2 linked regions of the Oreochromis niloticus genome follow. The main gene of each other region encodes a partner of the protein of the gene in region 2 in a complex. Links are inferred from orthologs where the notes say so. Each region holds a gene or a part of one and is shown on either strand. Other genes may lie near its edges.

Evidence for each region.
Region 1: dnaaf10 (region 2) and pdrg1 share a complex: the UniProt entries of both Homo sapiens proteins name them as parts of the PAQosome complex. The link is inferred for Oreochromis niloticus from reciprocal best matches to the Homo sapiens genes DNAAF10 and PDRG1.

What each region holds. Positions count from the first base shown.
Region 1 is NC_031970.2:37,017,755-37,024,953, reverse strand, and holds the start of pdrg1 (p53 and DNA damage-regulated protein 1), read right to left. Parts: upstream 3,022-7,199; 5' UTR 2,948-3,021; coding exon 2,864-2,947; exon of another isoform or gene 2,820-2,863; coding exon of another isoform or gene 2,805-2,819; intron 2,257-2,804; coding exon 2,181-2,256; intron 2,023-2,180; coding exon 1,948-2,022; intron 1,854-1,947; coding exon 1,773-1,853; intron 211-1,772; coding exon 128-210; 3' UTR 1-127. Other genes in the region: uncharacterized protein fam217bb, read right to left, coding at 5,482-6,802, 6,883-6,950. UniProt on the Homo sapiens protein: May play a role in chaperone-mediated protein folding.
Region 2 is NC_031978.2:9,086,595-9,094,337, reverse strand, and holds the start of dnaaf10 (dynein axonemal assembly factor 10), read left to right. Parts: upstream 1-4,532; 5' UTR 4,533-4,619; coding exon 4,620-4,805; intron 4,806-5,896; coding exon 5,897-5,997; intron 5,998-6,249; coding exon 6,250-6,380; intron 6,381-6,503; coding exon 6,504-6,605; intron 6,606-7,743. Other genes in the region: RNA-binding protein PNO1, read right to left, coding at 1,030-1,097, 1,709-1,779, 2,291-2,408, 2,548-2,608, 2,935-3,018, 3,132-3,278, 4,048-4,245. UniProt on the Homo sapiens protein: Key assembly factor specifically required for the stability of axonemal dynein heavy chains in cytoplasm.

The sequences.
Region 1 (7,199 bases), on a different chromosome or scaffold from region 2:
TCTCATCTTAACAAATGTGTATTTGAAGCTCTGGCACATTGTGCTCCTATTTGAACAACTGAGTGCTGCAGTCAACATGTCAACATGTGGCATTTGTCCCCAGATGCATTGATTTGTTGAATTCCGGTCATCTCTTTAAAAGGCTGTTAATAGCTCTGATTTCATCAGTGGACAGAGGAGAAAGACTGTAGCCTCTCAGCTCAGGTTTTCCTGCAACAGTAAGACACAAAAAAAGGTTAAGAGATCATATAAGACTGCCTTAAAATAAATGTAGTCGTAGGAACAGAACAACGGAGATCACTGTGACTGAGGACTTTTCCCAGTAATAATATGAAGGACTTCCCACAGGAATAATGACTGAGTCATAACCCCTCCCTGCTTATTCCTCTGAATCTAAAGGTATCTGACTGAAGGCAGATTGGATTCAGTTTCCTCTCCTGCTTCCAACAACAGAACCACTGGGAGAAATTCTGCGAGTTTAATGATGTATCAAAGCAATGAAACCTCCATCAGATAACACTGCACTTCCTGTACAAACATAAGTTACTGGAGACCAGACAAGACATTTTTGCTATGGAGACTGCAGGAATATTCCAGATGTCATGGCATTATTTTTTTTATTTTTTTACAGACAGCATTTACTAAAATCCGACTTCACATAAAACACTTAAAAAATGTGATTATGTTTTCAGACTTTCCACACATCCTGCTATCTGCTACACTGACTTATGACTGCTTCAAACCTAAATGACTATTTAATCTGTGTCATTCTGTCATTCTGATTTTCCTAAAATGACCTAAAATATATTAGTGTGTGAATGTGTGTGAATGGGTGGATGACTGAACGTGTAAAGTGCTTTGGGGTCCTTAGGGACTAGTAAAGTGCTAATAAAATATATAAAATATATTAGTAGCTATTTATACTTCCAAAACCAATCTGTAGTTGAAAATTTGGTGTAGACGCTCATTATGAAGATATTCTGGACCCAGACCAGACTAGGTATGAAAATATGACCAGTATGTAAGGATTAAATGCAGCACAGTGTCTCTGTGTTCAGAGTTGGTTTGGGTGTTAGTGGTTGTGAAAGATCCCAAACATACTGCACACCTTCTAAAACCGTTTGGCATTTTATGAGGCTGTGATCCAGGGACCCTCATAAAATCTAATTTATCGATTGAACTTTATTGTGTGCAATGTTTGGTTCTTTCCCAATCGCAGTTTATGATCAAATCTATCTTTCAAATAGACTTTCTGGATTGCTTCTTTCTGGGTACTAGTAAGAGCCTCCGAGGCCTCTATTTTTCTATACAACCAGAATGAAAGTGATTTCCTTCATATATTCTTCATATTTAACTATGATGATGACACAAATCAACTGGCGTGTCTTAAATACTTTTCTATGTGTGGAATACTATTAACATTACAAACATCTGCTCAGAGTGATGCATTCAATTTAACCACAATTCCAAAAAAGTTTGGACACTGTGTAAAGTGTGAATAAAAACTAATTGTTTGCCTGATTTGCCTTCTGTTTCATTTTATTCACAGTATAAAATATCAAACAGGTCAAATGTTTAAACTGACACATTTTACCGTTTCATGAAAGATATTAGCTCATTTTGAAATTGATGGCAGCAACACATGATGGGACGGGGCAACAAAAGGCTGGAATTCTAAGTGGTACTAAAAAGAAATAACTGGAGGAACATTTTGCAACTAAACAGGTTAACTGTTAACAGGTATTATTATAGTAAGCCACTAGCTTACTTACCTTGCATCTCATTGAGACGATTCACTTTTGCTTTCAGCCCTTTGCGAAGATCATTTATCTCTTTGTCCAGCTGCTCCTGGTCTACACACCACAACAAAGATCAAAAGAGTTTAGGGTGATGTGCTCTTAATAAAATTGTATATGTACAAGATTCAATGACTTGGTAATGTTTTACCTTTCTGAATCATCTCTCTTGTCTTGGCTTTGGGGAATTTGATAAACATGCTTCCCAAGCAAACCTTGACTTTCTCTGCAAATGTGAGCAGCGTTTTATGTCATTCCATGCATAAACACACATAAAATAAACTTTACACCTGGCTCTCCTTTCACTGTGAGGTTTTGTGCTTTTAACAGCTTCTCTTGTTTCACTCTTTTTGTGGCACAGCTCTGCTGGGAGAGGGTACTCACCTGAATCTGCTACATCATGTTTCAGTGCATTAAGTGCCTCCCTGTTCCTGTTTCTCTTTGTGTCCAGGTCCACAATCTAGAAGAACAACAGACGGCATTAGTTAGCAACATATTACAGTATGTCACACACACACACACACACATACACATACACATATATATATATATATATATATATATATATATATACACAGTTGGATCAAACAATGAGACCGCCAGTGAATGTACATCTATTTTGCTTTGATATGGAATTCAAAACAAAATCTTTCATTGTAAATAGCAGCTTCATAATTTGACAAAGAAGTTGTATCTGTGAAAAATGTCCACACATTTTTGATATCTTAGTATTTTATATTATTAAAGTGGTTTCCACTAGCATCTTGGTGATGAGCGATGACAGGAGCTGACAGTGAAACCTGAGCGCCGGGAATTTGTCACCCCGAGTCAAACTGCCCACTGTTAAGTTCTACTGTGATACCTTGAGGTATCCAGAGAGAAAATTTGTCACAAAACATCAAAAAATGTGTCAAGATATATTTTTTTTTAAATGACAAAAAATGTGTTTTTGTCTCATCCATGAGCTGACAACTTAGCTAGCTGACGTCACTGGCTACGTTAGCATACCTCTGTAACGTACATAACGATCCTCCCGTGTGGCCGTCCTCAACTCAGTATTTATTTACCTGCTGTTTAGTGGTGAGAACATCTTCAGCTGCCTCTTCAACTTCAGTCAAATACTCCAAAACACGCTGGGACACCTCGTCCATGGTTGCAGTGCCGCTTCCAAAATATGTCCGGTGTGAAACAACGGCTGAACACTACAAGGACCGCACGGTCATTTCCATCCGTTTCATGGGTATATGCTTACGAAGTTTACATCAGTTACAATAGTAACATTTATACATTATAAAGGAGTAATCTGTAAGAAAGAAAAAAAATTCACTTTGCCTCTCTCATTTACACTTTTCTCCATTTTTATGAGGGTTTTTTTTGTGCTGTAAATACAATCTGTAATCTACAAGGGAAGACCAAGGGCACTTTGGTTAATCGCTCTCTAAACTCTGCAGTAACACACAGAAATACATAACATGTCATTACACAGAAGTGGCTCGTTCTGCAGCACATCTCATGTGTAGAAATGTTATGTGGAAGAGTTGAGTTCAGTAACTGTACTTGTGCAATGCGAGAAATGATTTGATTTGATGATGATTTTGCCTCTTTGTACTTCTTTACCTACTTGGTAAAATCTTCTCAGGCTCATACTCTCTAAAGCTGCATGGGGACCGATGAACAGCAATATTCAAACACTAAATTTAGAGCCACTCTTGAGTACATTTCTCTGTTTGTTGGTCCGTTTTGGAGCCACCCCTGTAGACTCTGGGCTTCGCATTTGTATTTTTTTTCTCTCAGTAAGTAGATAAGTTGCCTCACAGGATACAGCAGGTTTTCCCTAATGATTTTCTCTGTATTTACCTTCATTGAACTATATACCACTATTACCATTGTTACTCTGCTGCAGAATAACTTGAACTATATGAAACACAAAATCTCCCTGTCCATATCAGCAGACCGGAGAGGGGATTCACTGCATTTCAAACAGATGGACAAAGAGCTTGTATCTGTATTAATGACTTTGAGGAGATTTAATATGTGGGCACCTCAGACTGTGCATAACAGACCAACAAGCCGTGTGCACACTGGAATTGATTCGCTCATCTCGCATCACTTTGAGGCTGACAGCTGGTTGCTTCCAGTCATTCCAGGCTCTCTTCCCTATTTATTGCCAGGTCATATGTCAGCCAGTGTTATTCTTAACTCTTACTCACTTGAAAGTTGTGAAGAGTTTGCCATGAGTCCTATCCAGTTCAGTTCTAAGTAACCACTCATGAAACAAAGTTTGAGAGACCCAAGATAACTTTTTTCAACCTCGAGGCCAATGAAACTAGCAAGAGACCGACCTTTCTTCCTTTTTTTCTTAATCCACAGCGACTGTCTCAGTGGAAAAAGTTGTTTTTAAGTCTAAGTTTTTTTAAGTATTTCAGCTCACCTTATTTTTAACCATCATCACATCTTAGGGAACACTTTGGAAATGTGCCTTCCTCATCAGACACAATTATACAGTATCTCTTTCATCAGTCAGACTTTCCGCTGCTCTCTTCCTTTTTAGTGTTGCAGGCTTTCACTATTTTCTCCACTTCACCTTGAGGTACGTATGTTTCCTCATATGGGGAAATGGGAATGTAGGAGTATGCAGACTACAGCAGCAAGCCAAGCATGTTGATTTAGATTGATTCAAATCAATGCTAAGAACAAAAGTGATTTGTGCACGTTCTTTTGTGCATACAACTGTAAGTCTTTCTACATCCAGAGGAGTTGCCCCTGTAAGGCACTTCACTTTTCAGACCTGGAAGTTAGCTTCATCTTTTCTGTACAGTCTATAGGTGGGCCCCAAAGATTAGCGTTACCGATTCCGTTTTCCACCAAAAGTGACTCATCTTCGAAATATCTGCTTCTGTCCCAAGTTATGGCCAGACTTGTGTTTTTGAACGTCTAATTCATTTGATGTTTAATGATCTGAACAGACATTTGTGTCATTTTCTTTCATAGGAGTTATTCAATCTGATCAGTTTATCCTTCAGTCTGATCCAGATTAGAAGAAATCCCTGTCATGATCCAGCTGAGCGGCGGGTGTTTTGTGGGCGGAGCCTTGGTTCCTCACCTGTTCTGCCGTCCAATCAGCGAGGCAATACTTAAGGCCAGCGCAAATATGCACTCTCCGCCATTTCATCAGCTACCTCATGGAGGTAACCCGGCCTCGCTGCTTCGTAACTTTATGTCTATGTTCTGTACTTGCCTTTATTTAACAAGAGTGAGGTTGGAACCTCACTCGATCACACACCTCTTGGACCCCGCGCTCTCCACCTACAAGTAAGCCAGCGAGTCCAGTATTCACCTTTTCTCCCTGCTCAGCATCATACACCATCTTCACAAGACTGTTTGGTATTCTTTAATAACTTTTGGTAATGTTTGCTGCTTCATTCAAAAGACTAATAAACCTGAAGTGAAAATCCCCTCATATGATCACATACAGTACATGATGCTATCTGGGTTCTTTTAAATAAAACACAAACTTGGATATCCAGCGGCTCTCTTCCATATCTGTGTAAACATTCCCCACAGCACAGAAAAATAATATCACATTAACAAATGAACAGTTTTGCTGACTGTACATCCATAATAAAACTTTAAGGTGGGGACAGTATGTAACATTCAGATTACACATTCATCACTAAACCTGCTGTTATGTGACAAACTCCACCTGTTTGGGCCTGCTTGGCCTCTGTATAGGAGAATATTTGGATCCTGGTAAATTGTCTATTATTGCAGTGACAGCATCAGGTTTTATTTCCTGTTCTTTGAGGTTAGCCGCTCTCCTCCTCTCAGCTCCTCCTTTTCTGCACTCAGAGCCGCTCCGTTTTTTCTCCCATCCGTTCTGTTTCCTGTCTCCTCCACCTCTCCTCTGCTCTGAGCCGCTCCTCCTCCGAAACCCACCCATCCTGTAGTCCCACACATCCCCCTTCGAGGCAACGTCATTACAGTCGCTGGCAGTGTGTTGAAGGCTGGTGGCGGCACCTTGGACAGGGTTGCGGATGTTTCCTGATGCCTGCATTCTCCTCAGGTGGCTGTTGGTCCGCACAGGGCTGCTGAACCTTTGGGCTTGTGAGCCCCTGTCTGAGGAGTGCACCCGGCTCTCGCTGTAGCTCCTTTTGGGGAGTATTTTGGGCTCTAGCGCAGCACTCGGTCTGGACTGACGGTTGTGGCTGTAAGTCGAGCAACAGCACGGTGCAGTACAGCGGGAGCAGCGGATCCGGCAGAGAGTGCAGGCGCAGCTGGAGAGGAGGGCGGAGTGACTAGCCAGGGAGGAGAGGAAAGTGAGGGGGAAGGCACGCTGACACTGGAGGATGCACTTAGGAGAGCTGAGACGTGATGTGGCAGCAGCAGGGGACCTGTGACAGCTGGATATCACTTCTGATACTGCTGATTTCCCACTCTCCTCCTGGACAGTCTGGATCTGACGCCACTCCAGCTGCAGCAGCTTCTCCAGATACCTTTCCAAAGGGCCCACAGGCCTTGGTCGGGGGGTACCTCGGCCTTCCATGTTGTAGAAAACAGCCAGCTGACTCAGGGTCCACGAATTAAAAGGTGGAGGGAGGAAGTCTGGGAAGTCAAAACCTCCATGGCCCTGCAAATTGGATCTGTGGCTGCGAGAGGAGCAGTCCTCGGCCTCGATGACCTCTGGCCTGAGCTCGAGCCGAGGAGGAACACGACTGCAGGCTGACACAGGAAGTCTCTCTGACTCAGACAAGTCGGTGTCACTGTCATCTTCTCCATGGCGACTCAGGCGTCTGACCTCCAGTTCTGGCGAGTGTCTTTCCAGCTGTTCAGTACTGCAACCACACATGCAGTGGTAGGAGACGGCTGCTGTGTGTTTGCCCTCTCTGCTCCCCGCATGCTTGTGCTGTCTGTGGCTGGAGCGCTTAGTGACTGGCAGCACCTTTGGCTCCATCCTGCCCTCTGTGGGGGACACTGGAAGAGGCTTTGACTCTGAGGATCTGTGAGTGCTACAAGGCAAAGCAAATCTATTATCTCAGCACTGAGACAGCACCGAACAACACAAACTTTGCACAAACTGCGACCTCACCTGTGCTGAGAAGTATTGCGTTTAGCTGAAGAGTTGTTAGACTTGTGCTTTCTTCTTTGTTGCAGCCTCTGCAATTACAGACACATTATGTTCAACTTATCACTTAAACATGGTCGTGGTAATGTTATTACCATGGTAATAAATTGAGACTTGTTGACATTTTGCCTGATATAAATAGTACGCTATTGTGCCACAGAAATGTGTCACTATATGGAATAAAGGAAAAACTAGCAAGATGTAAAAAACACTCACTGCAAACGTGTAGGTGTTACTTTAACAACAGCTCTGTATCTTGTATGAAAGCAGTCATAATGTAC
Region 2 (7,743 bases):
GTTTGAACAACAGTTTTCAGTCAAGAGATGTGCATCTGGAGTGCTCTATTTTTCCCCTATCCCAAAGCTCTGCACGGCTTGGGCCTCCCTGTGCTTGCATGACATGGAAGTATATTTTTTGTTGTGCATGTAGATCAATTTTTTGAAATAATCCTCTTGTTTACACATGGATGGTGATGTTAATATATTTAAGAATTTAATGGTATACAATATGGATGTTGCCAAACTTTGGTAAATGTACACATATTATGAGAGGTAATCCAACTGAACTGAACTACATGTAACTTTTTGTATTTTACCCGGGTCAGCGAGATGCTTCGATTCCAGTAAAAGTTGCATATCTGATCCTGTCTCAAACTGCCACACACTGTACTCAGCTTAAAGGGGAAAATTTGATGTTTTTTTTTTTTTTTTTTTCCTTTTGTATATAAGTATTTGTTAAATGCAGTTCTGGCTCTCTGTTCTCTGTATAGTTCAGACCGCGCTTTAGTTTGTAAGTGCTACTTTTCTCTGAGGGACTTGGGTTCTTTTTAGTTTGTGTGGGGATATGAGAAGATTTAAGTTTGAGAACTTTTTTTTTTTTCCTTTTTCTGCATGCTGCATCTTATGCTGTGGGACTGTTGGAAACTTGATACTGTATGAAAAATAAAATTTAAATAAACTTTGAAATGTTGAAAGTATTCTATTTGACTGTCCTTTTTTTTTAAAATTTTAAACCTGACCAAGATGTGACTGACTAGACTTGTATCTTCATTCACCAGGAAAGAAGAGTACACACATGCTTCGTTTAGTTTTTTTTAAACACATTTGCACAAACACATACTTTCAGATTCTCTTAATGCACGTATCATAATTTTATTAATCATATTTGATACCAGCTGATCCAGAAACCATGAGATCATTACAGAAGAACCCAAGGTATCAGTCCAAAGGGCAGTGACGGTCTCAACTCAACACAGATCCCACATAGGAATTCCACCAGCCAATAGGGGAAGATAAATACATATGGTAACCAATCATGGTTCAGGTTTAGAATCTCTCTGCAGTCCTGCTAGCCACCACTCTGATGTTGCCATAGACCTTTGAAGGTGGACTTCCTGTAGGGGCAAAAGGGATTTAAAGGTCACTTCTCAGCATTAATGTGTAAACAAAGAGTTCAATTCCAAATATGGTTAGTGCTAGATTCGATGGATTTGCTGTCAGGTGACTGATGCTCTCAACACTGGAAAAGGCTGCACAGCAGTTAAATAGGTCAGTTCTGGACTTGGCTAAACTGTTTGTTCAATGTTTTAGGGTTGTTTTCTTTAAGCTGACTGTCAGCTTATAAAAAAAAAAAGTAAGAAATTAGATTTTTGCACTCCTTACGGAAAACAGTGTTACAACAGGTCTTTTTAAACATTCCATGGTTTCATCCCAATGCTTGATTGCCGAGCCTCTTTTGATTTAGGCACTTTTACTGCTGCATTTAAATATATATCAGATCAAAACTGAAATCTATAAAATAAGAATTCACAGGGGAGTCTTATAATCTAAATTTCAATGTTTAAATGAGTACCTCAAAGTGAATAAATATCACCATTAGTACTTGTACTTCTCAGGGAGTAACGGTATTTGAGACAGACTGTCCACCCAGCTCATCCAATAAAGCACCACCTCAATAGCATCAACCACATGATATACTGTGCTATAAAAACAATGCTCGTCTTACCTAAGATTAAGTTGCATATCGCTGTCCGGGCCATCTTGATATTCTGGAAAGATCCTAATACGTGAACTTTTCTGTAGACAGACAAAGCAGAGTGTTAGCCGTTTCAGTGAAAAATGAATAACAGGCACATAACTAGAAAACATACTGCAGGTATGGATGTATGCAAAAGGTTGTGTATATTGTCTTTAGAGTACCCACACAAACTTCTGCGTGAGAGGGTAAAATATAATTTGTGTGAGGAAAAACTGTTAGTAAGTAATATATTATGATAGTATGTTTATGCACTTATTGACAAAACAAATCGGGCCAGTTTATTTTATTTTTTTAAGTTTAATTACAAAGAAGTAAAGCTCTTCTTTACAGAGTTTCTTTGCAAGATCTGTATTGGAGTTCAATATTTATCATGACTAAAACAATGCAAGAGAAAAAAAACCAATCAAAATGTTTGATTAATGCTGCAGTGAAACTGTGTCAACTTCAAAAAGGTGGTTAAGGAAAATTAATAAGGGATTAATAAGCAAATGATGTGGAAAAATAATTAGTAATTTTACTGTAACATGTCAAAATACTGGATTTACTCACGTGTCTGCAAGCACAATGCGAGTCTTTGTGACGTTTTCAATGGTGAATTTGGTTTTTCCTCCCTTCCCTGCTATTCTTCCAATAGCTCTGGATAAGTGGTCTCCCTTCAGAGGTTTCACTGCCAAAACATGGGAGAACAATTAAATGGATCTCGAGAGGTTGAACATTGTATTCTTCACGCAGCAGGGAAAGAGAACTGGTAAGAAATTATGACGACTCTAACAGCAGCCACAAGTGCTACGGAGGTGGAAACTCACCGTCTGTGACATCAAAGCTTTCAAGGAAGAGCTCATCTAATCTAATGAGAGCCAGAGCATCCTGAGGGGAGAGAGTGTGAATGTTACATCACGAGTGACAATCCAGCAAGGCTCAAAATTAACAATCAAATACTGTCACAGCTTCTAAAGATAATTTACACATTTAGACAAAGCAAAAACAACTACAAGTCACTTTATGGAGGCTACTGACAGGGAGGAAACTTTTATTGTATTAATAGTAGATTATATAACAACACTGAGCTGAAGTAAGTGTCAGTCAAGTGTCTCTAATACTGTCCCAAAACTTGACTTTTGGCTTGACAAATACACATTCAGTACAAAAGCAGTCAGGCAGAATTAAAACATGCAGAAAACTCATGTACTTACTTCAACCTGAAATCCGAGAACAAACGCTTTAACAAAATCAGCCGCTCTTTGGAGTGAGGTGATGTCCTGTGTTTCTTTACATGTCTGAAAGAAAGAAGGCATATTAGTTATATCAGAGATGAAATACTGTATATAAGCATTGTAATAAATAGGCTCAGTCAACTCACCAGAGTCTACATGAAATGGGAGAAACCTACCTTGATTTCAACATTCCTTGTTTTGAGGTTGAATCTAACTTGAAGTTGTAGGTTCTCTACAATGGGAGTGAAAATCTTCAGCCAGTTATCTTTCAGCGGTGTGTATCTGTGAGCTGGAACTGGGATTTTGCGCATCTCATCTGATCCCTTAGAAAACAAACAAACAAATACACAGAACATTTCTGATCATACGGTGTAATGTTAGCAAAACTATTCTATGACATTTGGTTAGGATTTATCAGAAAACATCTTTGCTTTGTAACCCGAAGTCAAAGCAATGCTGTAACGAATGTAACATGTTTACAATTGTTTAATGTGGTGATTCTTTTTTTCCGCTTAACTGTCTGATCTTTAAATCATCAGGAAACAGTGAAAAAAATTGTCATCATAACAGAAACCACTAATCCACAACAGAAGGAGAAAGAGAGATTGCTGAGTACATATAAACAGCAACCCCGGGTTTCTATTGTGCCTGACGGTGCATTTAATTACTGAAACATTCATATGCACTCTTAATTTCAAAGTTTCTAATTAATCCTCGGAGTACTGGACTGATATTAACCACGAGTCATTTATGCGTTTTGTTTTCCTAACTGTATTTTTACTTTAGTAGCCAGTGCTTTAAACAGTCAGAGTACTGTGTAGTGAAATCATAAGTATTATAATAATAGTCACGACCTACACACAGTATTTGTTGTGTATTTGAATATTCTACTTGGGCAACCACACTACCACAACAGCAGCTTTATTTAATGTATTCACATGACTACACCGCGCGTGCGCATAATAGTTAATGGTTCGGTCGGGGAAGCTACTTTGTAAACATTACAAATAACATTAAATGTACACTTATTGGTATTTATTTGACAAAACCGAGAGAATACACAGAGTCTATATATACTCATGGTGTAGTTACCCGTAATTTGTCTCCTGAAATGGGCGGAAACTGCGGTCGTTTGCTTGCCACGGGCTCCTCTGTGTCCATGCTCGCTCCATCTTGTTCACGTTTTCGCTTCTGAGACTTTTTCGACTTAACCTTTGTGAAAGAATCGGCGTCATCTTTGCTCTCCTGGGGTGCTACAGCGTCCGGGACTGGGTTTTTGTCGTTGTCCATCTCGAAAAATGTTTTTAAAATCAGACTTTGAGTAGAAACCTAAGCAGACTGTGAACGGAGACGCGTGAGCATGTCCTCGTGGGACGAAAAGGACCCAAACAGCCACATCAACGACGCCTGTAGATTGGGAGGTAACAAAATTATATTATTATAACTATCTAGGATGTCTCTAGTTGTCTTTAGAATTGAATGCAGGCTGTTTATATATTTTTTCATATAATTTTTGTACCAAAATACATAAATATTTTATTGAAAGATACACATTTTGTCAGGCATCTGTTAAGGCAGCCGCTTGCTCAGCTGTACCTAGTTTGTTTTGGGAGAGAGCGACAGTTGTCTACTTTTTCACGCCGATACCAGTGTTTCTCAGAAAAATGTCATCGCCGCTGTCGAAGCCTCAGATTATTACGCATATTCAGAAGAGTTTGAACTATACGGTTTTTGACAGTAAATGGATTCCCTGCAGCGCGAAGTTTGTCTGTCTGGGAAACTTTCCTAGTGGAACCGGAGTGATTCAAATATATGAAGTTCACCAAGGCGAGGCTCAGCTCATAAAGGAGGTACATTAACGTTCTACTCTTGTGGGCCGTTGTTCCTTTCTTTTCTCTCAGAGATTTCATACAAACGGCGTACAGAGCTAGCTAGCCCGTCGAAGATTTCTAGAAAAGTCTGGCAAGGATGTTTCCATGACAACAATTTGAAGGCAGCCAGTGCCCGTTCAATATTGTTCTACTGTAGATTATCCTAGGGTTGGCATACTTTATCCAGATTATACTTAAAAAGCAAATACTACAGCATCACTTGCAACGAGTAAAATATTGCTATGCTGCCACCAATGTATCGTACTACAAACAAAACTTACTGTTGTAGTTTTGCACCATGGCATGTGTGCCAGGCATCAAGATACAGATAAAGGAGAGCAAACGTAACAAAACGTGCATAAACATGATTCTTTTATACTTATCTTGCCTGTTTGTTTCAAATGTAGGTAGGTCATTTTGCTGCTAAAGCTTGAACCAAGAGTGCCTGCATGAGACGGTGCTGTGAAAAAGTATTTGCCCTCTTCCCAATTTCTTATGTTCTTGCATATTCGTCACGCATGTTTCAAATGATCAAGCAAATGTTAGTGTAAGACAAGAACGTCTTAGTTAAGGTCAGTGTTCATGATTCAATGATAAGAAAGAGAATCGGTAAAAATGGCATCTATGGGAGAGTTCCGTAGTGAAAACCAAAATGAACACAAAGGGCCATCTCACATTAGGTAAAAAACAAAAACAACAAATTGATGTTCCCCATTATTCTGTGAACTGACAAAGCGAAGTTGAACTTTCTGGGAGGTTTGAATCATGTTACATCTGGCGTAATACTAACACACCATTTCATAAGAGAACATCATACCAAACAATCAAACATGGTGGTGTGATGGTCTGAGGCTGTTTTGCTGCTTTTGGCCTGGACGACTTGAATTAAAAGATTCAACCAGAAAATCCTAAAGGAGAATGCCTGACTGTCAGTTTATGCCCTGAAGCTCAAGCTCACTTGGATCATGAAAATACATTTTCACTGCACTCCTTCCACATTGCTTTTCCATTATATGTTGAATTGTCCCATTCACGAAACTAAACAAACTCTTACCTCTGATATGTTTCAGGTAGAGAAACCTAAAGCTATAAAGTGTGGAACATTTGGGGCCACGTCTCTTCAGCAAAGACACATAGCAACGGGGGATTTTGATGGAAATCTCAATATATGGTATTGTATACACCAATTATCAGTGTTGTGCCTGTAATAAGAAGAATCAAACTGGGAAAGCAAGGCTTAAATTCTATTTTTAACCAAAAAACATTTCTTATGTTTACTGTAGATCTTATATTCAACGCTGGTTCAGTCCCAAAGACAGTTATAATTCGAATGGAATTAAAAAAAATGTAAAGGAAATGATATTTTAAAAATACGTTACGTCGACATTAGACTTATTCAGTACTGATGTCCTGTGGTTCACAGGAATCTAGAGACCCCGGATGTGCCCGTATATGCTGTAAAGGCCCACAAAGAGATAGTGAATAGTATTGATGGTGTTGGTGGTCTGGGGATTGGTGATGGTGCGCCTGAGATCGTCACCGGAAGCAGAGATGGTAAGAGCATTTAAAAAAACAAACAAAAAAAAACTAGATTGTAATTACTTTTCAGTGCAATGATAGTGGGAAAGTAAAGTACATGAAAATAAGACTAGATCCTACATGATTGTCTTTTAATAGGTACAGTAAAAGTGTGGGATCCGAGACAGAAGGATTCCCCTGTAGCCAACATGGAGCCAATGGAAGGAGAAACCAAGAGGGACTGCTGGACTGTTGCTTTTGGTTTGTAAAATATTCTTCAGAAACTAAGTTGATAGTGCTGGTGCTTCACCTACTTCCATGGTGTGCAGAAAAGAACATGAAGTCTGAAGAGGTTTAGGCTCCTGCAATAGTTGTGGTAGTATAAAGGACACTGTTACAGCTTGTGGCCCTTAACAGGGTCCTCACAGAACATTATTTTCTTAAGGGCTGAAGTACCAACATCCACAAGTAAAGTTTAAAAACATGGTCTCCACATTATCTGTATCCACAGGGACAGGAATGTAATGCATTTGTTTGATAGTGATAAGAACTAATACAGTCATGGGTTATATTAATACTAAGAAGCAGTAAAAAGATACTTATCATATATTCTATTGTGTGCAATTTCAGGGATTTCTTTATACCTAGTAAAGGGGATTATTTCTCTGAATTTCAAACAGCAGAACACAGCCCAAATGCTAGCTAGTCCCTTGGTCAAAGGTACAATGTAAGCAGAGAACATTCAAACTCCAGAGAGAAGCACCCTGTTCTGGGTCAGGCAAAGGACACTCTTGCTGTGAAGCAACAATGCTAACCTATCAGCCACCATAAATAAAGCTGCTGTAATGCACTGCATATAACTGATAAGACATGACAAACAAGGCACGGTGGTTAGCACTGTTGCCGCACAGCAAGAAGGTCCTGAGTTCAATTCCACCATCAGGCCGGGGTCTTTCTGTGTGGAGTTTGCATGTTCTCCCCGTGTTTGCGTGGGTTCCCTCCGGGTACTCTGGCTTCCTCCCACTGTCCAAAGACATGCAGCTTGTGGGGATAGGTTAATTGAATAATCCAAATTGCCACTAGGTGTGAATGTGTGAGTGTGAATGGTTGTTTGTCCCTGTATGTTGGCCCTGCGACAGACTGGCGACCTGTCCAGGGTGTACCCCGCCTCTCGCCCTATGACAGCTGGGATAGGCTCCAGTGCCCCCCACGACCCTGAAAAAAGGATAAGCGGAAGCGAATGGATGGATGGACATGACAAACAAAACTTTTTGGTTTGTTTTTCATATATACTGTTTTAAGAACATCCTGATTCATGCCCTCCAAACACGAAAGGTGCAAACAGATGGTACAGCGAAAAAAAAGCACATGAGCATGAACACCTATGAAAATGCAGCCA